Medicago truncatula: one gene and its partner. The protein of the gene in region 1 binds, or shares a complex with, the protein of each later gene. Links are inferred from orthologs where the notes say so. Each region holds a gene or a part of one and is shown on either strand. Other genes may lie near its edges.

Evidence for each region.
Region 2: the proteins of NADH dehydrogenase [ubiquinone] flavoprotein 1, mitochondrial (region 1) and NADH dehydrogenase [ubiquinone] flavoprotein 2, mitochondrial are in contact, whole or in part, in a cryo-EM structure (PDB 9F5X), measured with the Chlamydomonas reinhardtii proteins. The link is inferred for Medicago truncatula from reciprocal best matches to the Arabidopsis thaliana genes CI51 and AT4G02580. Residues at the interface, in XP_001702590.1 of Chlamydomonas reinhardtii: Asp58, Glu59, Arg61, Phe63, Gln64, Asn65, Ile66, Tyr67, Arg69, His70, Met78, Ser79, Arg80, Gly81, Tyr84, Met85, Glu88, Ile89, Lys92, Trp96, Gln100, Tyr133, Glu142, Pro143, Gly144, Thr145, Cys146, Arg149, Glu150, Arg153; in XP_001698508.1 of Chlamydomonas reinhardtii: Thr42, Arg79, Tyr80, Pro81, Tyr84, Gln86, Ser87, Ile89, Ile90, Pro91, Asp94, Val95, Glu125, Val126, Phe129, Tyr130, Thr131, Met132, Phe133, Gly147, Thr148, Thr149, Pro150, Arg152, Leu153, Gln154, Glu184, Met185, Glu186, Cys187.

The regions. Positions count from the first base shown.
Region 1 is NC_053042.1:16,129,716-16,145,471, reverse strand, and holds NADH dehydrogenase [ubiquinone] flavoprotein 1, mitochondrial, read left to right. Parts: upstream 1-9,391; 5' UTR 9,392-9,566; intron 9,567-11,019; 5' UTR 11,020-11,030; coding exon 11,031-12,482; 3' UTR 12,483-12,496; intron 12,497-14,291; 3' UTR 14,292-14,662; downstream 14,663-15,756. Other genes in the region: casein kinase 1-like protein 10, read right to left, coding at 46-116, 458-553, 650-798, 1,132-1,201, 2,544-2,584, 2,679-2,757; protein NRT1/ PTR FAMILY 5.2, read right to left, coding at 14,915-15,756. UniProt on the Arabidopsis thaliana protein: Core subunit of the mitochondrial membrane respiratory chain NADH dehydrogenase (Complex I) that is believed to belong to the minimal assembly required for catalysis. Complex I functions in the transfer of electrons from NADH to the respiratory chain.
Region 2 is NC_053043.1:51,108,221-51,124,172, forward strand, and holds NADH dehydrogenase [ubiquinone] flavoprotein 2, mitochondrial, read left to right. Parts: upstream 1-9,957; 5' UTR 9,958-10,058; coding exon 10,059-10,115; intron 10,116-10,207; coding exon 10,208-10,240; intron 10,241-10,327; coding exon 10,328-10,393; intron 10,394-10,736; coding exon 10,737-10,853; intron 10,854-12,679; coding exon 12,680-12,757; intron 12,758-12,853; coding exon 12,854-12,959; intron 12,960-13,073; coding exon 13,074-13,120; intron 13,121-13,766; coding exon 13,767-13,844; intron 13,845-13,946; coding exon 13,947-14,012; intron 14,013-14,216; coding exon 14,217-14,324; 3' UTR 14,325-14,579; downstream 14,580-15,952. Other genes in the region: formamidopyrimidine-DNA glycosylase, read right to left, coding at 1-26, 109-143, 838-940, 1,169-1,246, 2,322-2,372, 2,687-2,812, 2,890-2,958, 4,414-4,471 and 2 more; uncharacterized protein, read left to right, coding at 15,804-15,952. UniProt on the Arabidopsis thaliana protein: Core subunit of the mitochondrial membrane respiratory chain NADH dehydrogenase (Complex I) that is believed to belong to the minimal assembly required for catalysis. Complex I functions in the transfer of electrons from NADH to the respiratory chain.

The DNA of each region.
Region 1 (15,756 bases):
AAGGAAAACAAGCTAGAAATCCCAACCAAATTTCATATTAGGTACCTGTATGGTATATGCTTATGTGTCTGAAGATCACGATACTTTTTTGCAAGGCCGTAGTCAATAATGTATACCTGTAATAATTACAAGAAAATCAGAAAACTTGACATAGGATACATAAGAGCACAATAAATTTTAGTGAACGGCTGCCAAAAATAATAAAGTCCTATTTGGTTTCTATTTCTATTTTCTACTTCCATTTCTTGTTTTTCGGTAAAAAAATAAACTGACAAAGTAACATTTTTTATTCCTGTAATTGACATCGGAAATAGAAAATGAAAATAAAAAATGTTCACAACATAATCAGATTCCTAGAAATTGAACAATGCCAGTTAGAGAGGTATGTCATGCTTAAATTCTCTGGCAGATATGCGCCTAAATAACAATAAATGCAGAAAAGTGATACATTAGATACCTGATTTGCCTTGCGGCCTAAACCCATCAGAAAATTGTCGGGCTTTATATCACGATGCAGAAAACCCCGAGAGTGCATATACTCTACTCTGTTTATCTAGGTAAAGTGGTAAATCACATTGAAGGTAAATCAGTAAAATGCTTTAGCTTGATGTTAAAAATATGGTTTTCTTGAAATTAAAGCTATACTTACTAGTTGATCAGCAAGCATCAACACTGTCTTAAGAGAGAATTTTCTACTACAGTAGTTAAATAAGTCTTCGAGACTGGGTCCAAGAAGGTCAATGGCCATGACATTGTACTCACCCTCAACTCCAGACCACTTTATATGCGGTATTCCAGCTTCAAATATAAATTAACACATTAATCAGATGAACTCAAACTATTATGTTTGCTTCATAAAAGTAAACAAATGCAAATCCTGGCTGCCAGTGCTGTCAATCGCATACCGCAGAAAATAGTGATTTGTTTGAATTCCACTACACAATAGTGCTATAGCGCCGTTATAGCACCGACTGACAGCATTTTGTACTAAATAGCGTATCTCAGAACAAAAATGATCTGTTCAAATTCCACTGCGCTATAGCGCTGCTATAGCCGCTATTTAACAACACTTTTGGCAGCACGAAAAGAAATTGAACCGGTATAAATTAGGAAGGCAAAACGAAAACTTACTTCCTCCTTGAAGAAGCATATACAATTTGGACTCGTACAGAAGTTGAGGATGCTTTGTCTTCACAGGTTCCTGAGAAGCCAATGAAAACGTAGAGAAAAGTATTAGCGCATGTATTAAGTTATGCACTTCGAGAAAAAAACATAGGACACCAACAAATAACCATCATAAAGCACAAAGCCAAAACTTGCATATTTTAAAGTAACCCAACTTTGAGAAAGTGTCATTGGCTAATAGCGCATGATGTTAGACATCTTATTAGTATTTTTATTAAATTATTAGGCAGCAGATACTATTAGGCAGTTATTGAATAAATAGGGAAATGGAATGAAAAGCCAGTGGGTACTTATTTTGGATTAGATTTTGATTGAGAGAGACCAAGCTCTTGAACATCTTGGTGGGAAATTGTTGTCGTTGTTTCCTTATTCTATTTCTGTCAAGATTGTGAGTGTTTGTAATATGTATTACAACTTCCTCTGTTTTGAGAATCATTCTTCAGAGAAGTGATCAATAAAAGTCTAGTACTATTCATATATAAATTCTCTTTGGTACCAGTTTCTATCACGTGCCTAATAGAAGTATACAAATCTTGAAGCAAGGGATGGCACATCAAAATACGCAAACCAACGACTCAGTTCATATCTATGTAACATTTACATAACTGAAGGGGAGTGCATAGTTAAGCAGACTCATGTGGTCATGCATATAGACACAAGGGGAAAGCAAACTCCATAAATAAGTACATAAGTACATAAACTACAAAATCTGGGTAACGTGTATGAGTACAAGTACTTAGGTAACTAGTAGGTACAAGTACATGTAATGAAGTTGCTACCGATGCGGATAATGAACTACTAACAAAGACATGGACACCATACTGACACGAACACATCAACACAGGTGTCTATTTAAAAAAATGACACAATTGAACGTAATCACATGTGTCAGTGTCGAGTCAGACAATGACACGATATGAGACACCGCACATGCCTTGGATCAAAAGTGTCTATGCTATAGTGGATACAGGTATTTTGTCCAATTGTGGATAAGGGAACAAGTACTATTGTTCCCTGCCCAAACTCTACTCATCATCATCCCTAAACAGTGATCGGAGTAATAAGGAGATTGTGGATTCAATCTCCCCGCTAACAAAAATTAGAACTAAAATTTTCCATTTAAAAGTCAACTAACTAGTAAGCAATCACCAACACAATTCAAGTCAAAACTATAAAACAAGAAGATACCGTTACTTCAATACAATGCAACATGAATCATAAAAACTCCAAAACATGCTTTCCCCTTGTGTACATATGTACTTAGCAACATGATTCACAAATCTAAAAACAAAAACATAGCAACATGAATCATAAAAACTCCAAAACATGCAACATGAATCCATAACAACTTCACTCACCAGCTTAACAGCCACTTCCTCTTGAGTTTGCACATTAACACCTGAATCAAAAAAGTCCAAATTATTCAAACAAAAAATACAGTAATTAAAAAAAAATAAAAAAATAAAAAGTATAAAAATTGATAAAGTGCATACCCAAATAAATTTCTCCAAATGACCCACTTCCAATTTTCCTCCCAAGTTTGAATTTTCCACCAATAACAAGATCCATCATAACAAACCCAATAAAAACACACCCCAAAATTCAGAATTTTACAACTGTAAAAAGTAAAAATCCAATTTTTATAAAAATAGGATGGAAAACGAAAAAACTAAAAGCGACCCATCACTAGTTGAATCGAAGTAAGAACGAATCTGGGTTGTGAAAAGAAAACCCTTTTACTTTGTTCTACTCCAGAAAATGAATTTATACAAAAAAAAAAAAAAAAAAATCTAATGGGTGAAAAGCGATATTGACGCAGAGAGAAGAGTGGGGATTTGGATCTGTGCGTGGAGATGAAGGAAATGATCTGAGTTCCGAAATTGTAGAGATTTTGTAGGAAAGAAGGAAAATGGATGAGAATGGAAGTGTGAATGATTGTGGTGGAATGTGCTATTATCATTATTAAATTAAATTATTCTATTATTGTTATATAGTATTGTGAATTGTCAACTAATAAATTCAAGGTATTTCTTTATTTATTTATTTTTACAAAATAAGAAATTCAAGGTTAGAGTTAATATATATACAGCTTGATCAAAAAAAAGATAGTATATACATTAATTAATTAATTTTAAGATGATTTTTTTTATTCTTTTTATTAAAAAAAACAATAGTTTTAATTCTAATTTTATAATAGAAAAAGGGATATTCTCCTTCTCAAACCCTAGTCGTCATCTCTTTCTTCTTCTTGTCGGAGGGCTGATTTAGGATCAATTTTGACACAAAAATCACTCATCCGAGTTGTTTTTCCTTATATCTTAATTGAATAAGGCACCGTTTGCTTTGAGCTTATGAAAAATAGCTTATGTAAATAAATAAGCTTTTATTTTAATTTATAAGCTCTCATTAACGAAAATTGTATCTTCATTAACGATTTTTTCATAAACTACCTTAAAAACTTATAAATAATACATAAAAACTTATTTATTTACATAAGCTGTTTTATATAAGCTCTAAAATAAGTTAATCCAAACGGGCCCTAAGTGATTTAACATATTTTCTGTTTTCTTTCGTTTGTTTTTGTGATTTCATCGTCTCTGAACGACTCTGTTTGTTTTGATTTCGAGTCTTTGTGTGGTGTGTTTTTTATTTCTCACCTTAGTGCGGTGTTTATTTGATTCAGGTTGAAAGATTAGCTTTGAAGAAATGCAAATCTTATCAATGACAATGACTTTGGCATCGTCAACGTTGCAGATCTAGAAACATGAATATTCTGGAGTGTTTAATACAGTCATATTAGTCATATTTGTAGGCATAGGTATTTTGCCGTTTTATGTTAATAACATGGATGTTGTGATTTTTTCACATATTCATACTTTTTGTTTTTAGCGAATTTGAATTTGTATTGTATCGATGTACTTTATCAATTTGAATAAATGAATATCTTTTATTTTTGTCAAAAAAAAATTATAATGGAAAAAGACAAGTCTTAAACTCAAACGTTATGGGTTCAAAGCCCACTAGGAGGAGTTAGAATAGGGTAGGTGAGTAATGGTTTCGTTCGGTATTCGATCAGAAAAAATATTTAAACTGATAATATTCGTAAATTAATAAGCAACATGCTCTCTTCAATAATCTCAAAGTAAGGAAAATTACCTGTTGTAAACTTACAAGCAACATGATCTCTTCTAAATCGATCAAATTAAAGAAGAAAAAGTTACTTATGAGCAACATGATTTCTTCATTAATCACAAAGTAAGGAAAGTCATTTGAAAATGTATGATCAACTCAAGACTTTATAATATTTGCAAACCTGTATGCAATGTTATTTAATTATACTATATATAAATAAAAGGGTTAATAGGTCTTGACCCCCCTGTAATATAGGTCATTTCTGGTTTTCACCCTGTAAAATTTTTATTTTGATTCACCCTCCTGTAAAATATTATTTTTTTCAAGAAATTTTTGTTTTTCGTTGATTTGTTATAACTTAAAAGCAACAAACATTTATATTTTTAGTTTTAATCAAAATCAAAATTTCATAAAAAAAAACTATTCATAATTTTCAAACGTTATCGCAATAAAAAATAACACGTGAGTGTCCGTCTTTTCGCTAGTGTTAATGATGAAGGGATGTTTTTAAAATAAAAAATGCAAGGTAGAATCTTTTTTGGAAATTGGTGACTTTATACTTGCATCAATTTTTGTAATGTCTAATATATGCACATGCCTAATTTTTAGGATTAACCTCCTATGCATTTTGTGTTGATCAAAAACTTTAATAAAAACATATTATCCCAAAAAGAGGAGAAAACAACCTCGTGACGCTGGTATTATAAGTTGTAAATTCACAAATCTCACTCCATCCATTTGTTATAAGTTGTTGATCCAACGATCCATTCCAAATCACAATATGTTTGTAAATGCATGCGTAAGCCTTCTAGTTTTGGTAAACTTCCTAACCAAAAATATACACAAAAGTAGGATATATGTCATTGTATGTCTCTAGTCCCATAATATTTTTAACATGGAGATATATTCATTAGTATCCAATTATTAATAATTACAATTAAAAAAAAGTAACAATAATTAAATAACGTTAATGAGTTACAACATCTCTGATATGAATTGTTTTGAACTCAGTCTTTCTTGGTTTTCCTCGACACATTTCCCCCAATGTTGCTGAAACTGACCACATAGGTATTTGTTAACAGTAAAATCGTTTTTACAACTTAAAGAAATCAATCTACTTTAGATTAGTAGTGGTAGCGAATGCAATGAAATTATATAGTAAGAATGGATTTACAAATAATTGAATATTGTCCATATGTTGGATACTACTTGTTCAAATATTTCTTAAAAATCTTTATAGGGTATATAACAAATTTGGTTAATGAGCACGTATAATTACTTTGATTTCTTGTTTGTGTAAGATGTTTGGTTACTATATATTCACGTGACTTTTTAAAAAATTTATTTAGAATATAAAATATATGAAAGAATGTATTTTTATAAGTTTTAGCTAATAAAGAGTAACTGTTTACAACATTAGTAAACAACCTTAAAATATAAAAAATAACATTAATAAACATCCTCTTGGAAGCTAAAGTGAGTAGCAATTTACAATGGACATCTATATATGAAAAATTATGAAGAATTTAATCACAAATGTCTGCAAAGTTAAATAGAATTTGGGATAAAAATTAAGATGAACATAAACATCTTCATGATGTTGCACCAACAGCTGCCACTCATTACGCCAAGCTGATATGCTCTAAAAATTTACTAACCATCTAAGAATATATAAGAAAATACAATTTTACCCTCAACAAGGGCATATTCGTAAAGTAATATGGGTGATTTCGAAGTTAGAGTTCTACATCTACTGATGATGTCATTGTCATGTCTTTGATTTCCCTCCTTCACATCTTCTTCATCATTTCTTTCTTCTTTACTAAAGTTGAAGTTCTTCAACTCGTTCAACTTCAATATTTCTTGATGTTAGCTTCCATTCTTTTTTATCAATACCATTTTTTCTATATATCTCAAACCATGCATGACATATTTTTTATTTTATTTCATAAAAGTCTTGCATTTGAACTATTATTTTCCTTTTTCAGATGCATGATTTGTCCAAGCCACTTAACCTAGCATTTACGGTTATAATTTAATTTTTCATTTCATTGATTACTAAAAGGTTTGAGCTTTGCTTTTGAGGTATTTTTTCGATAGATGATTTGTAAGAGGTTTGTTCTTTGCATTTTAGGATTTTACTTTTCTTTCTGTTTTGTTGATTTCTAAAGACCTTTGCATTTTAAGGTGGCGTCCATGTGTGCATTGACTTTGTTAAAATTGGTCTGGAGGGCCAAAACTGCAAAAAAGTCAATACTTAGGAGGCGGTTTTGTAGTTTATTTAGTTAGGGGGCCAATATCGCAACTTCTTGAAACATAGAGTGTCGAAACTGCAATTAAGCCTAATCTTTACTACCGATCTGTAAGTCTACATGTTTTTATCGTAGTGTTATTTATATTTTATCATAATTTAATCAAAGTTAACTATATTATTGCAAATTATTTGATGTGTGATTTCAGAACTCCTGTCATCTACTATTAATGTAGGTTATAATACATATTTACATCTCATACTCTATACTAACTATGTATGTATAAATTATGCTTTTACTCATTTGTGACCATATGTACACAAATATTGTCATAGATACCTTATAATATAAACCTTCATACTCACATGACTTAAAGACTACGCCTAACATACTGATAGACTGGAGTTCTCTTCCGTTTCAACATATCACCTTAATTTGAAGTGTGAGGAGATCTGATATAAATTTTAAGATTTATCATACATAAATATTAGATTGTCTAACCATTTAGCTGCTTATATAGGCAGGGATTTGAAAGACATTGAATAAGAGTGTTAGCACATTAAGAGTCATTGAGAAGCTTCAAATCAAGGATGTTGGGCCATTGCCTAATTTGAATAATTTTGTTGGATAGTCATTCGAAAATCCTTTGTTGAAACTAGAAGTATATTTTCATTCTCTTTGTCCTTGAAGTCCTTTATTTGTTTCTACACGTGATCAGAAGAAGACAAAATTATACTCAGATCCTTTGATGGAGATAGCTATAGAAGACGACAAATCTGACGTGGAGTATGGGTCCCTCACGATCTGTTGAGTCTAGGGGTCTTTCGAGTCTGATGATCTTCATCGAGTCTAATGAGGTTGATCTTCGGCTTCTGAGAGACGTCATTTTCTTCTAATCCAAGATGTTGACTTTCGGTTGACCTTTCTTCAGATCTTCTACCATATTCTTTTAAGCTTCTCTTGTGCTTCCGACGCTTTAATATATGTTCAATCTCTTGATGGATATGTTCTATGATCCTGCACATTTGAACAAATATTAATATATCCAATTGTTCGTCAATACTTTGTTATCATCAAAACCTTAGAGGAATTGTACAAATCAATTTTGTTCCAACAATATTAAGTTCATAATTCCAAATGGAATTGGATGATCAATGGATGTTGTTTGCTACCTATGCCCTGCTTTCTTCCTTATTATTTATCAATGAAATTATCCTTTATGAAATCAGCCTATGTTGTGTTTTCTTTTCAACATTTTGAAGCTATATATGCAGCTTGAATTTGCTTACTATTTAAATTCAGGACTAATGGTACATGAAAAATCATTAAACAGAAATATATTACTATTATTATGGTGAACTGATTAATATGAAATTGTAATTTGAGCAAATTATGAATAAATGTTTCACAAGTATCTCTAAGGTATCTGTGAACATGTCTTTAGAGTGAGAAGTTTTCAAAGAACCAATTGTTATTGAGAGCTCTGAGAATTGATATTTACCATATCTTATGTAGAAATTTGCTTATATATAGATCTTATTGAGAACAAACAAATAAACTCTGTTGCATTTGACATAAAAATTAAGCTCGTTAAATAAATGCGTTCAACTTGAGCTAAATATAATTTGACTCGTCTTTGTTAATGAGATAGCTTGATATACACTTATGCTCATTGTATCTAAGTTGCTTTTATACTACTCATATTAACTTTTTTTGTGACAAAATCTTAAGTTATGATTATCTTTTTGGTTTAAAAATCGTGTCACATGAAAGCTATAAACAATATCTATAATTATTATGAATACCATTAAGGTAAATAAATTTGTTATTGCTCAAATATAACTATTTAATTATATTTAACACTTAACAATCACACACTTAAAAAACTCTCCAGTTTAACTAAAGAGTTCAAACACATCATGGTAATATCATGTATGAAACATGATACTTCAATATTTCTTCATTAAAAAAAAGAAGAGGATTACGTTGAGAAGTAACAAAATATCCTAAAGCTTTACATCATGTTTGTGCTTAGTAGCTTGTAAAAGAGATATGTTATACCATAATATAAGTGAAGTTGAAGTCCCACATTGAAACATTAACAATACCACTTGGGTTGGTCTAGTAGTATTGGCTTGGGATCTGGGAGTGTGCTCCTCCTCAAGGTCTCAGGTTCGATTCTCTTTGGTGTCAATTTGAGGGGTTAGTTTAACTTTTTCAAAAAATATTGGTCGTCCCCTATAAGGCCAAACTCGGATAGTTTTTTTTTCAAGCCCATATTTTCAATAGGTTTTTTTGGTCCGACCTGATAAGGCCCGAAGGCTCTAGACAAGTCAGGTAGCCTATTTTGACAGCTATACTCGCACTACCCTCAAAGGAACTTTCTCCCTCATCCACATCCCCACAGAAAAAACTTCTTTGTATGCGAATTCCCAAAGGCCGTCTCCGCATGGATTCACATTGAAAGATGAAATTCACACAAGTATTAACACTTATGTATAAGCTATTTTGATTGCAAAAACTAAAATAAAAGCAGTGCTAACAACACTCTTTATAACATCCACTCTCTTATCGAGTGAAATCAATATAAATTCTACCATTTTATGTGAGTCTCATTTTCAAAGTAAACAAACCACATTGATTTCATACAATAAGATAGACAATATTAAAGAGAATGTTAAAAAAGCGTTGGTCATACTCTTACTAAAATAAAGTTAAATTATTTTTCGTATAAGCTATAAATAAGCTGATTTTACAAGTCAATACAAACATACCCTTGATCAATTTTTTTGGTTGTTGCTAATTATCTCTTTCATCATTTAAATCTCCATAACCTCTTTTCATAAGTATGCAACGTGGCTAAACAAAAGCCCAAAGTTCAAACAACCCAACTCGTGTTATTTCTTTCTTTCTACCAAACAAAAAGCTAAATCGAAAAAACAAAACAAGAAGAAGAACAACAAGGTTCTCCATTTCCAACACTTCTTAGATCCGCAGGTACATCCTTCATCTTCAATTTCACATCCTCTCATTCTTTTTTCATCTTATTCTTAACCCATTTATCCTTATCTTAATTTACGCTAATTCTTTTACTTTTAAGCTTAAGCTCAAATCTATGTTATAATTTTAATTTAGTTTTCATTCAATTTTTGGTATAAACACATTCAAGCTTGCAATTCACGTGCATTTCAATCTTACCCACAATTTATTTCTTCCTAGATTTGTAGATACAGATTACCCCCAACGCTTTTTGTTCTTGTTAGGGTTTCAGTAATCTTCCCAAAATCCATTTTTTGTATTTATTTATTGATTTAGTTTACATCTGATTGAATTGGGTTGGGATTGAATGTGTGGGGCTTGATGGAGGTTGTTTTGTTGGATTTTTTGTTTAATATGGCATGTTATGAATCAAAAAGTTGTTGAGTGTTTTAAGTTTATGCTTTTGATTTTTCAATTGGGTCTCTGAACTCTGATTATGGGTAATTTGATCCATGTAGCCGACCTCATTTAGTGGGATAAGACTCTGTTGTTGTCTGAACTCTGGTTATGGGTGTGTTTGGATTGACTTATTTGAGCTTATTTACTGTCATAAAAACTTGCGAGATTGTTTCAAGAGGTTATGGAAACAGCCTATCACATGTCCATAAGCTCTTTGAGATAGCTTATGAAAACAACTTATGGTTTTGTTTTAGCTTTTGTTGTAGAAGTAGTGTATGCATAAGCACTTATACGATAAGTGTTGCTATAAACACTTAAGTAAGTTATTTATCCAATTATGGCCTATAACTAATTGGTAATTTGGAAGTTTGTCTTTTGAGGTCTGAATTTTGATTCATGTGCTTTGATTTTATTGGATAGCCGTAAAGTTAATAGTCAATTTTAATTTATTGTCCTCTTAAAAAAAATAAATTTGAACTGTAATGTTTTATTTGACTATCTTTAGCTTTGGACAATTTGGTTTGAATTGATTAACCCAAATTGTTTTTTTTTTTCTTTTTTTTTCGGTCTGAACTCTGATAACGACCAAGGGCCTAATTGGATCGACTTATTTGAGCTTATCTACTAACATAAGTTTTGTAAGACTGTTTGGGGGAAACTTATGACATTGTTCACAAGTTGTTTTTAGCTTATTTTCACAAGTTCTCCAAGATAGCTTATAAAACCAGCTTATACGAAAACAATTTAACTTTATTTTACCTTTTTACTTTAGAAATAGCTTATACATAAGCGCTTATCATAATAAGTGCTTGTGATATAAACTGTTTATCCAAACAGGGCCTAAGTGGGTAAACTTGTTTTTTGACTCACGTGCTCTGATCTTATTGTTTAGCCCAAAAGTTGATAGCCAATTTTTGTAGCATTGTTTTATTTGACTATTTTTAGCTCTGGACAATTTGGTTTGCATTGATTAACTTAAATGTTTTGTTTGGAAACTTGAAATTATTTTCAGGTTGGATAACCATGAGGGGCATTCTTTCTTTAAAGAGGGCAGTGTTGGTTCGACAACATAGCGAAAAGTTGGGTCTTGGTGTTAGATTATTTAGCACTCAGGGTGCCTCAACTGCAAGTACTCCGCAGCCTCCACCACCACCTCCACCTCCAGAGAAAACCCATTTTGGTGGACTTAAGGATGAGGACAGGATTTTTACCAACTTGTATGGGCTGCATGATCCTTTCCTGAAAGGTGCCATGAAACGTGGTGATTGGCATCGCACTAAAGATTTGGTAATTAAGGGTACTGATTGGATCGTTAATGAAATGAAGAAGTCTGGTCTCCGCGGACGTGGTGGTGCCGGTTTTCCTTCTGGCCTTAAATGGTCATTTATGCCAAAAGTATCTGATGGTCGTCCTTCTTACCTTGTTGTTAATGCTGATGAAAGTGAACCTGGCACCTGCAAAGACAGGGAAATCATGCGCCACGACCCACATAAGTTGTTAGAAGGTTGCTTAATTGCTGGAGTGGGAATGAGGGCTACTGCTGCTTACATCTACATCAGGGGTGAATATGTGAATGAACGTTTAAATCTTGAAAAGGCTAGGAAAGAGGCTTATGCAGCTGGTCTTTTGGGTAAGAATGCTTGTGGCTCAGGCTATGATTTTGATGTTCATATCCACTATGGTGCTGGAGCTTATATTTGTGGTGAGGAAACAGCTCTCTTGGAGAGCCTTGAAGGGAAACAAGGTAAACCAAGATTGAAGCCTCCTTTCCCAGCCAATGCAGGATTGTATGGTTGTCCCACCACTGTCACAAATGTGGAAACCGTAGCTGTCTCTCCAACCATTTTAAGGCGTGGGCCAGAATGGTTTGCCAGTTTTGGTAGGAAGAACAACGCTGGGACAAAGTTGTATTGTGTGTCAGGACATGTGAACAAGCCTTGCACTGTTGAGGAGGAAATGAGTATGCCACTGAAGGAATTGATTGAGAGGCACTGTGGAGGTGTTAGAGGAGGATGGGACAATTTGCTTGCTATTATTCCAGGAGGATCATCTGTTCCACTGATTCCAAAACATGTATGTGATGATGTTCTGATGGATTATGATGCGTTGAAGGCTGTTGGGTCAGGGTTGGGGACTGCAGCTGTGATTGTGATGGATAAGTCTACTGATGTTGTGGATGCCATTGCAAGGCTCTCGTACTTCTACAAGCATGAAAGCTGTGGGCAGTGCACACCATGCAGGGAGGGAACAGGATGGCTTTGGATGATCATGGAAAGAATGAAAGTTGGTAATGCCAAGCTAGAAGAAATTGATATGCTTCAGGAGGTGACTAAGCAAATTGAAGGGCACACAATCTGTGCCTTGGGTGACGCTGCTGCATGGCCAGTGCAGGGACTTATCAGGCATTTCAGGCCCGAGCTTGAGAGAAGGATTAAAGAGAATGCACAGAGGGAGTTGCTGCAGGCCACTGGTTAGAGGCCTAGACCAAGGTTGTTCACTAAATTATTTACCCTCATTTTGCTTTTAATCCCATTTACTAAAATAGCTCATAAACACATGGGTATATAGATGAAAAAATATATTTAGCTTAAATTGAAGGATCAGACATTAATATGTTAGTTGTTTAGATAGGTATGAGAGATGCCTTTGGAAAACTTAAATGTGAGAGCTTGTTACTATGGTAGTATGTTATTCCTATGAAGTGATAGCTGTTGAACGTTTATCTTTGAATTTGGGTTAGGTCTAACAGTCACATAAAGCCGGTGGGTAAGGTGAAATATGTCTCCTCCTTATAAACACCATAGCTGTTGAATGTTTATCTTAGAATTTGGGTTAGGTCTAACAGTCTCACAAAGCCGGCTGGTAAGGTGAAATATGTCTCCCCCTTATAAACACCTTTTCAAGCCATATCTCATCCAATGCAGGACTTTCAACAAAACCATCCCTCACGACCATGTCTGCGCATCTGGAGCGTGATCCGTGTGGCCCGATAACGTGTGACCTAATGAATTTATGACAGACTCTCGAGCTTAACTCAACCATACAAACCCGAGTAGTAAGGGGAGGGGTGCCTCCCACTTATAGACATTGTTTAGGCCAAATTGCAGTTAACTTGCATGATCCGTGGCCTGATAACAGGTGACCGACTGGATTTAGGACAAACTCTTGAGTTCAACTCAACCACACAAACCCAAGCAGTAATAGGAGGAATGCCTCCCACTTATAAACATTGTTTAGGCCATATCACATCTAATGTGGGACTCTCGAGTCTCAACAATTGGTTTAGTGTTGAAATCTCATTTTAAGGGTGCAGCTTGTTCCGTCAAAGAAAAGGATGTAGCTTGTTAAATTTGACTGCTTAAAGAAAGTTTGAAGGGTTTGGTTAATTTTATGGGAAGTTAGTTTTTAAAGTAGTTCCTGGGCAGTAACACATTTCTTTTGCTTAGAGGCTTGTATTTGGAATTATTTTAGAAATTCATATATGGCTGGCTGAATTGGATATTCCTTTTTCATAGCTTTGATTTGTGTAACATTCAGTTCCCATGTTGTTCATATATTTATGTTTGTGTGATATGCTTTAATAGGAATACACGTTCTAATATAAAAAGATATATTTGGGTAAAAAATTGTGTTTGGTCTGACCTATTTTTGACTTCTCTTCTTCTTAAGAAGAAGTTAGGCCAAACAGTTTTTTTTGAAAATTCTTAATTATAAAAGGAGGTTTTCTTTTATTTATAAGAACTAGATGCAAAGAACTTTTTCAGAAATTAGTCGAAAGGAGCTTTTCAAATCAAGTAGGAGACCTTTTATTATTTAGCTCAAATTCTGACCATAAAAAAGAAACCCAGAAAAATAACAATCACCAAAACTTTAGCTTTGTTTCTACAGTTCTTGTTTTAGCATTAATTATTATTAAGTAGCGTCTAACTCAAAAAAAGCTATGCCATGTGGAGCTATAGTATGTAATGATTTCTATCTTTTTCTGTGCTAGAGTTTATCGTGGGTAGTTTTATGTTTAGGTTGTTTTGTTTTTGTCACATGTCAAAACTCTAGCTATTGACCAAAAATATTAGCCTGAAAAATGCTAGGTTCATATAAATAGTTTTTCTCTCTTAATATGTTGGGATTTTTGTTATTGGAAAATCGGGTCAGATTGATCCATCTAAATGTGAAAGAAAATTTTATATTTGAATACCAATTATGCTGAAAATTTCATCTTTCCTAGGGAAGATCTGCCTGTTTGATGCCTGATTTTTCTTTTCATTTGTATTGTATTATGTGTAGGGGTTGTGACTGTACTGATGATAGCTAAAATCAAAATAAAGCAGTGCCAGTCATTTTGGAAAGATAGGTGGCTCAGGTTCCTTTGGCTTTATTGCTACTTCGTTTTACTTTTATGCCATAGCAATTATGGCTGGATAATACCAGAGAATCATCTGGGCCGGTATAAACTATGCTACCTAGACTTGTCATTTGGCACATTTTCATGTGATTTGTTAATAATATCTGTATACTGTCATTAATTTTGAGAAACATATCATGTTTATGTTTGTTATTTATCAATGAATGATGAGGGATAATGTCCACTGGATATCAATGGCTTTGATTTGGGATTAACTTCATTTGGATCGACTATTTGTTTATTTGTATGACAATGTTCAACAACCAATATTAACTTGCTTTTATGAAGTCTATTAATCTATAAGCTAAAATATATTCATTATTAGCAATAGGACATTCACTATTATCAATACATTGTTCAGATGAAGGATAATAAACTTTTACACTACAGTTGAAAATAAAAAATAATCAGAGACATGATCGTTAAGCTATATAACATTTTCAAAATTTGTTCTTAAGAATGTGGTGTTTAAAACACCCTATTGCCCTTCATATACACAACACAATTATCTTCTAATATCTGTTTTGACACTTATAGCTGTTGTCCTCTCTTTGAGCTCTGTTTCAAGCACTTTTAGAGAATCTGAAACTTCAGCTCTGTAGACATAGATTTTTGAGACAATCATGAAGAAAATGAAGTTCAGGGCATTTAGTATTGCCAAAAATGCGTAGTAGTAATCAAGATGAGAAGCATTTAGGTTGTTCAAAATCCACCCTTGGTGACTATGTTTCTTTGTGATATGTGAAACTGTTGAGAGAAGAAAAGTGCTAAGGAAACTACCAATGCCCGTAGTAGTTAAGGAATACGAACTCCCAAGGCTCTTCATGCTTTCTGGGGCTTGGTCATAGAAAAACTCAATTTTGGCACCCTCTAAGAGGGCTTCTGCTATTCCCATAAGTACAAATTGTGGAGCCAAAATGAATATGCTCAATGGAACCTGTCCTCCATTTTCAATTACTCCATGTTCTTTGGCCACAAATAGTCTATGTCTTTCAGCCAAATATGCAACTATCATTATCACTATATGGATTATGAATCCTATGCTCATTCTTTGAAGAAGAGTAATCCCTCTAGGGTTCTTAGTCAACCTCTGCATAATCTTGACAAAGAAATGTTCATAGATTATATACGTGATAATCATGGTTAAGATTGTAACTGCAATTAAACTTGATGGAGGAATATCGAAGTTGCCAATGGCTCTGTCGAGTGTAGATCCTTGCTTTACAAACAAGGTATTTATCTGAGCAATCATTGCACTAGGAATAAATGTAGCAACCCAAATAGGGATTACACTTAGGATTTGTTTGGTCTCCTCTACTTGTGTTATAGGACATATCATCCACTCGC
Region 2 (15,952 bases), on another chromosome or scaffold:
TGCAACTCTGGCACGTAAGCAGTTGTCTAAGAGCAATAACAATTGCAGATTAGAAATAAATAAAAGATGATGGCAAAAAAAATAAGAGCAATGTTCAGAATGGCATACCCTGCCACCTGCAGTGATGAACTCAATCGTTTTCCCTGCAATCACATGAAAATTATAAATGTTTGGATTTGGCACTGAAAACATATTTTCATTTGTTATTATTGGACGAAAAAAGCAGAGTGTGTTTCATATAATATGTAGGCATAGCAAAAAAACAGAGTACGTAAAAAAGAGCCAAGGAGAAATGAGAACATCAGCCACTTTCAGAAACCCTTTTGAAAGCATTGTGAAGATTGGCATACTTTCTTCTTAGAAATACGCATAAAAATAGTAACAGAGCTTTGACTCAATAGGAGAAACCCGTGAGTTTCAAACTGGAATACTCAATTATTATTAATTATTTCATTTAATACCTTCAAAACAATCAAGGTATAATATATTACTACAACGTCACACTCTCCACAAATATTAAAACTTCGTTTGTAACGTAATCATTCCCCAATAATATGAAGGCACTCTGGATGCTTCAATTTTAACATGAATCCAATAATAGTAAATCACACCAATCAAGAATACAAGTTTAGGGAATTGAATAACACTTGTATTATTTATTTTTTACTGTAATAAAAAAAAATAAGAATACAAGTCATGCAATTTACTACAATTTTAGGGAAATTGCATATGAAATTAAAATATAAGCAGCTCAATACCATAGTAAAAGGGTACGATTCATGTTGCACAAAAAAAAATATTAGTTTTTTATTTTTTACTCAAAGTAGGGAAGCAAACCATCAACAAAAGCTTTGCCGGGCTTCTTTTCACGGGAATGAAATATCCAATTAGTGGGATATTGACTACTATCTGCCCCAACTTCAACTGCTTTTTCGACAACCTGTAAAATAAATTTATTTGTCGATTAATAAACAGTATTCCTCACCACTTATTTTTCCAGGCTTTTTCCCCCATCGAAAATGAAATAACCACTCAAGGGGAAAACGGCTACAGTCAGCATCAACTTCAACCGCAAATTGAATAACCTACAGGTTTTAGCCTCTGTACTTTTTAAGGAGTCTAGACGTTCCAGAACAATAAGCAATTTAAAGGGAACCAGCGTCCCTACCTCTTTAATGCACTTATATAAAGTTGAGCAGCTTTCTCCTGATAGGCTAGAAGCTATCTGCCGTGGATGAATCCTTGCCTGGAAACAAGGGAAATACAATAAGTTACAACTTACATTTACAAGGCATGGAGTAAATTATCGAATTTGATCTTCTCCAAGGCTAGAATAGTAGTTTATTAGCCGCTGAATACAAAAAAGAAGGCCGGAGCAGATACTAAATCCAGTGAAATGCTATTTCCAAAAATTTGAAGCACCTGCCTCCTAAATTCCTAATAATAAATAATTAATAAATACAGATGCAAAAACAACCACCAGCTCTAAAACCTTTCTCATTAAGTAGCATTGGCCTCATGAATCAAACAATGTCATAATGTTTCATCATGAATCTTGTCCGGTGACAGACCATTTGATTCCAAATTGTTCCTAATTGTTTGACCAATTGAATTATAAAATTCTAGTAAACAATAATAGTTGCTAACAGCTTATAGAATCATCTAGACCAATTTCAATTCTGTATAAGGGTAGATGATTTCAGTACCCAAATAATAAGTTAAGAACACAACTCTGAATTCAATATTCATTTTATATTCTTACAGAGCATAATTGTTCCTCAAGGTGACAGCCTAACGATCAAATCCCCTTTTTATTATATGTATACCCACACACAGACACAATAAATCTTCATATATAAGACTAAAAGCAACTAATAAGCATCATACGTTCCAATATAATTCTTATAAAAAGAAATTATGCTTTATTCATTTATTTCCCATTCCAACTAGATTTCAGACCATTCTCAATCTTGATAACATGAACAAGTATCTATCTGTTCAATCAGCATAAGGTCAAGGATATAAAAGAAACCTAGGGAGGACTAGATAAAACGATCATCTTGCTGATGCAATATTAATACAACCAAGTATATGATATTAGTCTATTAAAACTCAATTAAGTTCATTGATTTTTTTTGAATTCATATGTGATCACTGCCTATTAACCATTATATCACCATACATTTAAATTGCTAAAAAGATCAAGTTTAGATGAGAATTAAAATTTAATAAGTTATACATTCAAAAATCTTCAATAGTTAAGAAAATACATGGAAAATATCAAAGATCAAAATCATTGAGGAGATAAAAGATCCACTTACTTGGTACAGCACTTCATCTGCAACCCAATTTCCAATGCCTGAAATATAGCTCTGCAGAGGATGGAAATTTTATATCTTTAATAAATGTTAAAGTCAACAGGAATATAAAGTTGGAACATCAGATTCTTATGCATTGTAAAAGCGCAACAAGAGAAAGATGTAAAAGACACAGAAATCAGAAATGTAAAGGGCTTTGCTTTAAGAAAAACTACACTCAAGTTAGCGTATCAATATAAAAACAGAGAAAAAGAATGCACATGTATAGTAAGATAATGATTATATCCTGATCATAAATAAACAAATTAAAAATTTAAAAGACAAAAAAATAAAATATTTGGGAAGTGATAAAAGTAAGCAGTTAATACTTGATCTAGTAATAAAGCCTTGATTTCAGTTTTCTTCTTGTGCAAACGCTCAGTAAACTCATCAAGTGTCATGAAATCAAAAAGTGCATCAGGTCCAAGCTCAGATATGGGAGGCACTGATGTCGGCTATATCATGAAAAAAATACAGTTAATATCAAACTCTTATTAATATGGATGACAGTTTGCAAGTAGGGTCACAATACATCTTTGAGCAGGCGAACTCTAGCAAATCGCCTTTTGTCGGTGAAAGACAGCTCCAAACCATCGTCTAGCTGCAGCAATGTGATTTAATCTGGTTAATACTCTTTTGAAGCTCACATAAATGACAATACTCACTAGGGAAACATATCATCAAATATCAAAGCTAACTATGCATGCGAAGAAAATTGAAAAATCAAAAGACAAATCCCCTAAGCACAGAGGCACAACTTCATACCGATTATGCTCTTATGTATGAAATGGAAAGATAAAAAAAGTCAAATGCGAGGAAACATGTAGAAAGTTCAAACTGCAGATGTTGAGAAAATCTAATGACTTCAAATTTGGAGAGCTAACTCAACCCCAAAAGTTGGCTCAAGGAATGAGGATAGGCCAAGTCTTACAAGGGGAATATTTTAACAATATCTCCGACGGGTGTGGGATCTCAACGAAATGCTTCACTACATCTACAGACTAGAATTTAATAAAAATTTAAAACCACAGTATGTAACATGAAAGTAAATATATGTCATTACATGACGACATTACAAAACATCTTCACAAGCACTGCCGCCCCAAAATAATATCCACCAAATTGGAAACAAGCATGAAACTCACCACATGACAATACAAAAAAACTCCTGACACAAGCTTTCACATAGCTATTTTACAGAAAAAACTTAAACTTACAAACTGAATGTAATCAGAATCTTACACCCTTCTGCTTCACAGAAATATAGAAAGTTTTTCTTTCCCGTATACATGTTAAAGTGAAGAACTCCCTTCATCGACTATAACAAAAAAATAAAAACTATAACATATATTCGTCTATTTGATCTTCAAGGTATTGTATGGTCTTTGTATTCTTGTGAAATTTAATCCATCAGTTGAAGTTGCCAATGTGTTAGGGAGTAAGAGCACTTGGCTTAATCCAACAGGTTAAGAACCTAGTTTGTTCTATACCTTCTAAGCAAGGGATATAAACTACATTGTGTGATCAGAGTCCTAGTGTACTATAAATAAAGGTTAGATGTCATGGAACAGTAGACAGCCTCTAAAGAGCTTTTAGTGAATACATAGCATTTTCTCGCTCCAAACATGTTCACTCTCCCCATTTTCTCAATAATCTTAAAAAACTTGAACATTCAAAGTTTTGGAAAATATTCGTGTTGTTGTCTTACATTTTGGACAATATCAGTGTCCATGTCCAGGGTTTGTGTCCTTGTAATTGACAAGAAAAGTAATGTTTTCTCGCACCATGAAATCACGTATGGATGTAGACAAATGCATATGTATGATATATAGTAGTCACAGATGGACTCTAGCCCAACTCTAACATATAGGCTAATCGCATCTTACAACTGAACACAGATCTTATGAGTTACGAGTCCACAGCAAACAGTCCACTTCAATTTGTCATCATTCATCAAATAAAAAACATAGCATCGGATTCTGAGTTGTTACAAGCCCAAAGACTCAAGTGGTAAAGTTCAAAGCATTCTGCTCATCAAAGGAGTGACAGTTGTTACCTGAATAAAAAACTTTGAATACTTGGAAGGCCATTCATCCTCGTCATTTACAGCAGACCTGTGAAGAAGTTTATATCATTACATTAACCACTGAGAGAACTTATAGGTGTCAAATCATTGCAGCAAAATAACACACAAAGCTCATTGAGGTATGGAATATTAGCTCAAAATCAAATTAAAAACTGTACCACCCATTACACAGAAGGATAAATAAGAAATTACCCTAATGAGAGCACTTAAAGTTAATTCGCATTCTGAAGTTAATTCCTACCATAATTTTACATCTGAGCTTGGATCAAATAATTTTTTGTTACACGTGTATGCTTCAAACACCGCAAAATAACATTTTCGTATTCAAATTTACATTTTCATACTATTTCATGAATCATGAACTTAATAAAATGCCAACATTCGTCGGTGTTCTCCAGACACAGTCACCTAGTTGCATAGATGAAAAAATATAGATAACAGCATTTCTCTGATAATTTGCAGCCCGAGAGTATAAATATGTCTTCAAGAAAATGTAAAACTTAAAAAACATTCGCTATATATACCAGGGGATCCAATTCAGCTCAACACATGAGAATGAGTATCCATGCAAAACATTTTACAGCTTGTAGCTCTTAGTAGCACTACAAATTATAATGTAATTAGTTTCATACATAAATTTCCTATATTGATGTAGAAAGCAAAAAAATCACTTTAATGAAACTATAAATCTCAATCCAATCCAACAAAGTCTTGACAAAAAAGAAACATGATATTGTAAATCTGGAAAATGCATTATAATCAGAGAGTCTATATCATTGAATTTTTTAAAACTTGAGTATAACGTGTGAAGTAGAGATTAGCTAACGACAATGAAACACTCGCACACTGATAGCTAACGACAATGAAACACTCCACACTGACACGTACACGCAGACACAACCCTAAAACGTCAACACTTATAATTATTTAAAGGGAAATGCTAACAAGTGCCCCGGGCACCGGTTAGCAAGAACCTTTAAAAAAATATACATACAATTGAATATAATTCACATTTGGACACTGACATGTGTCAAACATCGAACACATTTTCAATCAGAAGTGTCGGTGTAACCGAGCTTAACGACACTCCATTGGCCTCACCTTTTATACTTTGTTACAGCAACACCCTTGATGTATACAGCACCAGCCATACCTAACACAGTCACAATCATAAATCGTAAGAAACTCGTAAGCTAGGGTTTCAAAAGGTAAGAGTGAGAGGGAGAGAGAGAGAGAGAGAGAGAGAGATAGAGAGTACCGAATTGAAAGGAAGGAAAAGGAGGAGAATCAAGCTGAAGCCACATATTCTTCCCCTTCCGGCGAGCTGCAACAATCTTCTTCCCAACAACGGAAGCTTCGAACTCTTCGCGAGAGACACCGTCGATGACTTTGTTATCATCGGCGACGATGCATTTGGTTATCTTCTTTCCGATACAGTTCTCTTCCACCGCTCTTCTCGCCGCCTCTACCTCCGGTAGCTCCGGCATTATGCTCGGTCGTGACTGTGATGGAGTTTTCCCGCGTTGCTTCTCTGTTCTTTCAAGCACGATATTCTATGTTATACCGTTACGATTCAACATGCGTTTAAATCGTGTCCGTTCATAGCGGTTTTGCTGCGGGACAAACAACGGCTGTGATTCCACGCCCATTAATTATTTTCTAATTTTTTTCAATTTTTTTTTTTATATATATTTCACCAAATTGAATAAATGCAAATGAAATGGAAATATTCTAACACCTTATTTGATCCATATTATTTTTTGGGAAATGCTAACCGGTGCCCCCGGGTCCTGGTTAAGGATAATAAAAAGGGAAATTATATATTAATTATTGCATTGAAAAGGGAAATTATTACCATAAAATGAAGTTTTGTTGACTTATTTATGGATTAATTAAACAATTTTCAATGCAATAATTAACATATAATTTCCTTTTTATTATCCTTAACCAGTGCCCCGGGAGTACCGGTTAGCATTTCCCTTATTTTTAAGCATAGTGGATTAATGGTGCAAGCTAGGATACTCCAAAATGGAGACATATTGCATCGGATACCAATGTTTCATGGATACTTTTGGATATGTATCCACGGAGTATCGGATACCAATGCTTCATGAATGCTTTTGTGAAAATGTATCAAGAATTCTAATGGTATGAGGTAAAAATTATTTTTTTAATTCTCAACAAAAACAAAAAAACTTATATTTATTAACGATGTAGTTAGACTTAGTTGAAAATATTTTGTTCGTTCAAGACATTGTACCTCCAACTTTCAAAAAAGGGAAAACAATGATGGAAATACGCCTTCATATATCTTGTTTCTTCTAATAAAACATATGAACAAATTATGAAAAAATATACACAAAGCACGTAGATAATAAGAAATTGGTTGAAAAAATACATGTTTTAATAATCAGTTAAAAACAACTATTATTCAAGAAAGTAAAATGCCTTCGTAAAAAGTTCCAACATTGTTTGTTGAAAACCACGTAACTAATCATAAATCAGTTGAAAACATAAATATGAATAATAAGTTGAAAACAACTCTTATTTAAGAAAGCAAAACATTTGAGTTTTAGTTTCAACATTATTTAAGATAAACAAATTTAAAGATATTTACCTCAAAAAAAAATTTCATCATTTTCAACCTGTAAAATTAACACAATGAGAAAGGGAGAAAAGTGAGAGAACAGAGAGAAAGAGAAAGACAAAGGGGTTTATCAACACAAAACGTAAATGTTTAAATTTATATTTGACAAGGGGTTTCGTAAAAATGTTTTTCCATTGACGATCATTATCAATGAACTTAATTTCATAAATACCATTCTAAACAGAGTCTCTTATCTAATGATGTTTAATTTCAATATGCTTTGTCGCTAGTGTAAAATAGGTTTTTTGGAAAATCAGATAACATATGTTTTTTCATAGAAATGTTACTCTCATTGGTTTGGTAACCTTCAAGTTGATATTTCATCCATAGAAGTTATGTGACATACCTTGTTGACAAGATGTATTTTGCTTATGTAGTAGATAGGGCAATTGTGCTTTGCCTCTTGATTTAATATAAGCATAAACTTTCGCCAATAAATTGACAGATACCACTAGTGTTTTTTCTTTTAATTTTATCTCCAACATAGTTAGCATTATATAATTAATATAGTAACTCGTATTCAAATGATTTTTTTGCAAAATAAACCAATGTTAGCAGTAAGATATATCTAAAGATTAGCTTAGCTGAAGTTAAGTGAGATTATTTCGGTATACCTTTTGATCTACATTGTCACTTGACTCATATTTACAAAGTGATCAAACGGAATAATTAGTGTGTGTGGATGGCTTACGAATTCTAACATATCATAATATTCATTAACCATTTACTCAACATAATTAACAATATACTATTACATTATGTAATCCATCAAAACAAAAATAAAATAAAATTATGTAATGCATCTAAAATGGCAAGCTTTGAGGTCAAACTAACACAACTCTAAAAAAAATGTACCCAACAATTAAAAGTGTAAGTTTACTACACATTTGTTGGGGGATTCAAGAGGAGTTTTCAAAAATTTAATCCTTTTAGCGAAACAATCCCAATAACGAATATTGATTAAACCATTAATCACAATTCAAATGGAAACCTAAACACAGTTAAAGATTCATGTGTTGAAGTGATGATGGGAAACGATGCAAGATGGTCATGAGCCTCGCACAAACGACATCGCCTCTACTCAATCCACATGAGCACAAATTGAAACATTGTGATATCCGTTCCATGCGAGGGATTATGACTATTAAGTTTTACATGCTTAAGTAGTGCATGCTCTTCTTCTATTTATAAAGAACAAGTCACCAAACCCTTGATGCTTATTAGATTGGGTTTAACCCAAAGTAAGTCTAATATCAATTAAATTAATTCATATTTAATTAATTAAATTTCAACCCTCTTTTTTGAACAAAAGTATATATAATTAAATAAATATGATTAATTAAATATCATTTAACATAATCATTGAACTTTATACATGCGTCTCTGTCGATTCTTATAACGTTAGTAATATCATCAAATGTTATATTTAATATCATAAACAACGAGCGATATTAGACAACATATTACTAATGTTATATTTAACGAGCAAAAAGACGTGCACTCATGTGGCCGTCTTTCCGTTTTTTATTGTTTTAACACGTGTAGATTATGAACTATATTTTATAAATTTTTTGCGTGTGAATTGCAAACGATATTTTATATAGATTTTTTTATATAGATTAAAATTATAAGTATAGATATTTGTGATTTTCAAATGTAACAAACTCAACAAATCATATTTACATTTTTCAATGACAACAATAATATAACAAATATAACAAAAATTCTTATCTTTTTAAATAACACCAACAATATGATATAGATTAAAATTATAAGCATAAATATCTATATCTATACTATATATAAAAAATAGCCCCTTTTGACCTTTTTGGGATGACATTTTCTTTTTCTCATATTACCCCAAACTTTAAATACAAATAACACTTATAATAAATAGATAATAGTAAATTCAAATACTTAAAGAGTGTAAAAAATTCAATATTTATTGTCTACGAAATATCAAATTTTTCCTTATCTTTTTTTTGTTGTCAAGTAGCCTAGTGGCTAGAGCTTACACAATTAAATTATGGAGAAGTGGAGTGTCCGGGGTTCGAACCTCGGCCCCTGCATATAATATGCAATATCCCTACCAACTGAGCTAAGCTCACGAGGATTTTTCCTTATCCTTTATTCCTTTAAAAAAGATAATTGATGCAGTGAATTCAAAATAAATAAAAAATGTAACAAACACGATATGAATATATGTCCAAATTTTCTTTATGCTTTAAAAAGTGAAACAAACTAGACCGAACCTATATAAGATTTTGGACTGACTTTTTCATTATCCGAATTATACTATAAAATAATTTTTTCTTTAATAATGATTGTTGTCGGTGTCATTACAAAAATAAGAGTTTAAATTATATTTTGTTATTATATTTTTGATCTCATTGAAATAGGTAAACAATGCTAGTTTGATTTGTTATAATTTAAAAGCAACAATAATTTATATTTATACTTTTAATCAAAATCAAAATTTCATAAAAAAATATCGCTCATAATTTTCAAACTTTAACGCGATAAAAAGAACGAAAAGACGAATACTTGTATTCGTCTTTTCACCAGTTATTATATAAATTTTGTTTAAGAGTATAATTAGAATAACAAAAATCAGCCCAGAATCTTTCTAAAACCTCGTATATAGTATAAATATCTAAAGAAACATATTACTACTACCTAAGTGACGAAAATGTCATACAAACCAAAATGATCGGCCAACAATCACAAGAGTTTAACCCTGGTACATGCCCATGACGAGATTCGAAGTTTTGAACCCAAACAAAATGTCGCGCAATCTCATCCATACATGTGTCGACATAAAATTGTTATCATCGAACGGTCATCAAGGTGCCACATCTCTACATTCTCTTACACTACACCCTTCTTCACTACTCTCTCTCTCTCTCTCTCTCTCTCTCTCTCCCCCTCCCTCCGATCCATTGTTTGGTTTCACCTTGTTCCTCCCAAAATGCTAGCACGCCTCGCCGCAAATCGTCTCAACCAGATCCGTCAAACTTTCCATCAGGTTTTCTTTTCAATCTCTCACTTCTATTTCTTCTTCGTTTTTATCTTCAATTTGTTTGATTTTTTTTCTTCCGTGTTTTCCCTTTTTCGCAGCCATCAAGGGCTTTCTCAACCGCTCTCAATTACGTAAGTGTTCTTCAAATTATCCTTTTCTTAGTTTTCATTTTCAATGTTGTGATTGTTGATTGTATCAATTTTTGAATTGGGTTGCAGCACCTTGACTCTCCGGACAATAATCCCAATCTTCCATGGGAATTCAATGATGCTAACAAAGCAAAGGTAATTTTTTTATTGTTTTCAAATTCTAAAATTTCAAACTTGGAATGTGTGATGATTTATCAATATGTAGCTGTAATTCAGCTCATTACCCTTTACTTTGATTATTGATGATTAATTGAGTTTAACATTTAGAGTTAAAAGCTAATTAGAGCAGAAAATAATGCATAAGAGGGTGTAGAATTTATGAATATATATGCTTTACTGATTGGTTTAATCAATAATGTTTCTATGATTTTTGGATTATTAGTTCCGTATTGATATTATGTATGTGATCCTGTTTAGTTTCTAGGATGTGTTTTTAAGATTCTAAAGTTCCAATGATTTTAATCTCTGTTAATTATAGGTTAAGGAGATTATATCTCACTATCCATCCAACTATAAGCAATCTGCAGTGATTCCTCTGCTGGATCTTGCCCAGCAGCAGCATGGAGGTTGGCTTCCTGTTTCTGCAATGGATGCGGTATGTTGAACTCTTTCGTGAAATATTCTTATTAAGTCCAGATAAGATAAGATCAGAATGATAGCTTTGTATAGAGAGCTGGGGGTAGCATCTGTTGTAAAAAAGATTAAAGATTATTGCCTTCGGTAGTTGGGGCATGTTTGGAGAAGACCTGTAAATATAGCAAAGAGGAACAAAGGGCAGATTAGATACTGTATAACAGGTAGAAGTGAAGGAAGATCATAGTATTCAACTATAGGCTAGACTATTTAAAGGGGTTTATACATTTGTTTTTTGGAATGACAAATGTCAGTGTTATGTTTTGTGTGGGGATAGAACTCTTAACCACCTTATCACTCCACTCCTTAACTCCACCACGGTCTCACCCCACCACCAAGCCTACCTTATATCCACTGAGTTTAGATTTGAATGGTAGTTCATGGCAGCCTTTTTTAAGATGGTTCCCATTAGATTAGTCAATAGCGCGCTATAGAGGCGTAGCAACAAGAAACCGCTATGGTGGGTGTCGTAACGGCACGGTTCCAGATAGTGCCCGCTGTAGCTGCTATATTGGTTTGCAGTAGCGGATCCTGACCTGCTATTGGATTTTAGCAGGAAAATTACAAATTGGCCTTAATTTTAAAACTATGTTATGAGACCCATGGTATTGTCTTCTATCCTATGTTTGAATTATGTTGCTTTCAGTGTATTTTATTTCTTGCAATGTGTTTGTAGTTTATTGTTGTTGGTGTGTTAATTTTTCATTTTATCATATTATAAAACTTTTGGTATGCTGTGTACGCGTGTAATACTTTTATAACAGCCACCATATTTCTGTTATAGGCATCAACGCTATCCAATAAACTTAAATTTTTATAATAGATTTTTAATTTGCTGTCACAACTCACAAACCACCATTTATAGCATCCATTGATTTGTGTAGCAGACCTTTCACAATTGAAAAAGGCTTTGGTTATTATTGCTGGCGATATCTAGAAGACTAACCATTCTATGTTTTAAGTCTATGCATGCATCAAGGTTTGGTTGTTTATGTACTCAACACTCTTTTCCTTAAAAAAAAAAATGTACTCAACATTCTTCTATATAAGTAGTCACTATCATTTATGTTAAGGCCCCAATGTGAATTTAGGCTCAAATGGGCTGATGCCCCATCAGCTGCCCAAGCCCACGGCGTAGGGATATTTTTTAGGAAATATAAGAAGAGCAAGGAAGAGAATGCTGACGTGGTAGAGAGTGGGGGTGGACTAGTTGTGATTAATTTTGTTATATGGATACAAAGGGGAGTGAACGGGTATCTTTGAAATCATTGGTGAGTTTATGAAGCACGGATACGGATACGTACACCAGACACGACACGGACACTGACACCGCTAATAATTTGAGAAAATCGCATAATTCAGTGTAATTATATGTGTCGGTGTCGTGTTGGTGTTGGACACGACATGTGTCCGACATCGGGACACACCTAATTCGAGGAGTGTCCGTGCTTCATAAAGAAGCAGAGAGTATTCTTCTATGTAGCATGCTCTGGGTAGTGTGAATGTGATTCCACTGATAGTATTTTCCATTTCATAAATAATACTTGATACGTTCTCCATTATTTCCCTTTATTCAGTGACAGTGTTTTATCCATTAATTTCTTAATTTTCTGTTCTAGTTCCTATCAGATCAATTTAATTGAGTTTTGCTTGTAATTTCCTATTGCTATGGTACACCACCGAAAGTCCTAAATTTACATATTGTTTGTAAACTGAATAATAAATTTCTTAATAATGGTAGAAGCTATTTAAATCCTTTATTAACAAACAGTTTTGTGAATCATTCAGGTGGCTAAGGTTATAGAGGTTGCCCCTATTCGAGTATATGAGGTTGCCACATTTTACTCAATGTTCAATAGATCTAAGGTGAAAGTCATTTCTTCTGCGTTGCTTTTATTTCTGCTAATTCACAGTAGTATAGGCCAAAACTTACTGGATCAACCGCCTGCTTTGAATTTTCAGGTTGGCAAATATCATTTATTGGTCTGTGGAACAACACCTTGTATGATACGAGGTTCACGGGAAATTGAAGCAGCTTTATTGAAACACTTGGGAGTGAAACGAAATGGTTAGTTCACCTTTGCTAATTTCTCCATTTATCAATGAACCTGATTTTATTCTTGATAAATTTGAACCGTATCTTTTTCATAAGAATTAGTTTTGTTTTACCTTTGATTTGCAGAAGTAACACAAGATGGTTTCTTTTCTGTTGGAGAAATGGAATGCATGGTGAGTTTTTCTGTTGCAGAAGTAACACAAGATGGTTCCTAGTATTCAATGCTGTAGTAATTATTTGCACTGAGGCAATCATTGTATATAGGGATGAATTACATGAAGGACAAAATTGGACTTTCTGATGGTCATTATTTCAATAGTCTTGGACATGTTTGATATTTGATACATGGATATCTTTGATGTTTGATATAGTGTGTAATTTCGAGTATTTTTCCGTTTTCAGTATGTGAAGTTATAATGCAGCGGGCCGAGCTGGTTGGCTTTAGTATTTGCCAGCCAGGAAGTTTAAACTGCTGCTAAAATAAGACAGGGCACAGTACCAGCTCTTGACTGCATAAGTTTTCTTGGTGCAAGATAGACTGTGCCATACATTAGTTTTTTTATAAAGAAAGGTCATATAAAGTTATCCAAATAACCCCTTAGAAATTTAGCCGAAGAAAATGACCTTTATGACATTAATATATAACTGAGAAAGATGAGAATCACCATGGTGGTTGGTATGTGTTTTCCTATGATCGGTGTTTATGTGTCCAGACCTTATTAGAGTTCTTTATGAAGTCCAAAGGAGTGCCAATGTGATGATCTTGACCACTGTTTTATTAGCAGCTAATGCATGATTGAAGTTGTTGGTGTTGTGCAGGGATGCTGTGTGAATGCTCCCATGATTACAGTGGCTGATTACTCTAATGGATCAGAAGGATATACTTATAATTACTATGTATGCCTTTCCTCTTTTCACTCTTTTTTTTGGGGAGGGGTTTATTAGTGTGCGTGTACTTTTGAAGAACTCTTAATATGTCATATTGATGCTTGATTGCAGGAAGATGTGACCCCAGAGAAAGTAGTTGAGATAGTGGAAAAGCTGAGAAAGGGTGAGAAGCCACCGGTAAGAGTAATCACCATGATCTATTTCGTTACTGTCATTGTTTTAGATACTCAGCGACATTGTTGAGAAAACATTCTGTTTTCATTTTATATTTTAGCTGCAAAACTGTTCCTTTTTTCAGCATATGCTTTCAAAGATCAAAATGTTTTCTGAAATCAAACATACTCTAACCTTCTCTGAATATGATTTTCTTTTGGTATTTAGCACGGCACACAAAATCCACATCGGATTAGGAGTGCACCTGAAGGAGGGAATACTACATTGTTAAGTGAGCCCAAACCTCCTCCATGCCGTGACCTGGATGCCTGCTGAAGTGTGTATGTGGTACCTTTTGCCTTCAATAATGTGAGGCTTGCACATCATCAAGCTTGCCTTAATTTGAACATTGTCAAATTATTAGATGCTCAACCAATTTTTGTATTAACTGGCCTGGATGGCTCTGTTCCATAAAACGCCACAAATCACTTGGCTTGTTTATTATTTCACTTCAGTGTTATCTATGTCTTTATGTACTCTGTACATCAATTTATCATCTTAAGTGAAATGAAATTTGAGATTACGACGACATCCAATAATATAGTTAAATTGGTTAATTATGTTGATATTCTTCATCCGTTTGAGTGGGATGGAATTGAGTTATTTCATTCAACAATGGTCATGCAATTGTGAACAATGTAACATATCCTGGCAGGTTATTATCATTGAATGAAATGAGTTGTCTAAGGAGTATCAGTATTTGACAATCAAGGAAAAGTCCACGGCAGGACCGAACACAAATTTAGGAAAACGACGTTTAAAAATTGTTTGCTTATTAGTTAGGAACACAATCAGACTCTATCTATCATCCAGCTGAACTTGGATTATTAGATCAAATTCTCATGAGAATTGGAGGGTTTAAGACCAAAAAACTTATTAACATGGTTGAGTTTTGCAAAATTTTCTTTCGTTTTATTTTATTTTATTTTTATGGTATGATAACTAATTAAAAAGGATTTTCCTTTCAATATATTTGATTTGTATATTGTTTTCCCAACATAAAATGATATATTGAACAAGAGATAAAGATAAAAACTTTGAATATCTCTCGTGTTGCTAAATGCTTAACAATTCCACTGCTGTTTTTTCATGTTTTGAGTTTGTACACATAAGAAGTTGATTTTATTCACCAGAAGTTGTTTAACGGTGACTATGTAATTATCAATCATCTATTTATTTTCTTATCCTATCATATCAGTTTATAACTAAATCTTACTAAAATTTAACGAAATAAGATTTTATTTATGTGACAATAAAAGAGGTAAAATAAGATAAGGTGATATCCAAGATTTGGATGGATTATGATGTTTTATTCACTTCAATCGGGCCCAATAATTTATTTTGAGATAAATTCAGATGAAACTAATTAATATAATCTTCCACCAAATCTACATATTCACAACATCAATAAAAAAGTTATTTAGCTATCAAGATTTTCTCAACAAACTATGGTACGCTTTTTTAACCTTTCTTGAAGATTTTTCACACAGTTCATGTATTTTACGTTTCATTCTCATCTCAATCATACAGTTCAACTTCAACATTCGCCACAACAACCTCTTTCCTCTAACTCAAACAAACTAACAACAAAGTATCTGTTTCAAAAACAGGTTTGAATTTCTCATCCTTCATATGATCCTGTTTTATCATTATAAAGGTTTTATGATTTATACATTTCAAATATGAACGCATGTACATGCACATGTTTGTTTGTGTTTTGTGTTGTGTTATAGGTGGTTTTCTGTTACTATAGCTATGAATTTAAATGCTGATGCTGTTTTATTTGATCATCATGAGAATGGGGTTTTGGGGTTTAACTCTATAATAAGGTTTAATGTTAACGTTGGTCTCTCTTGTTCTCAAACCCTAATCTGTGATGTTGGAGGAGGAACCAATGGTTCAAT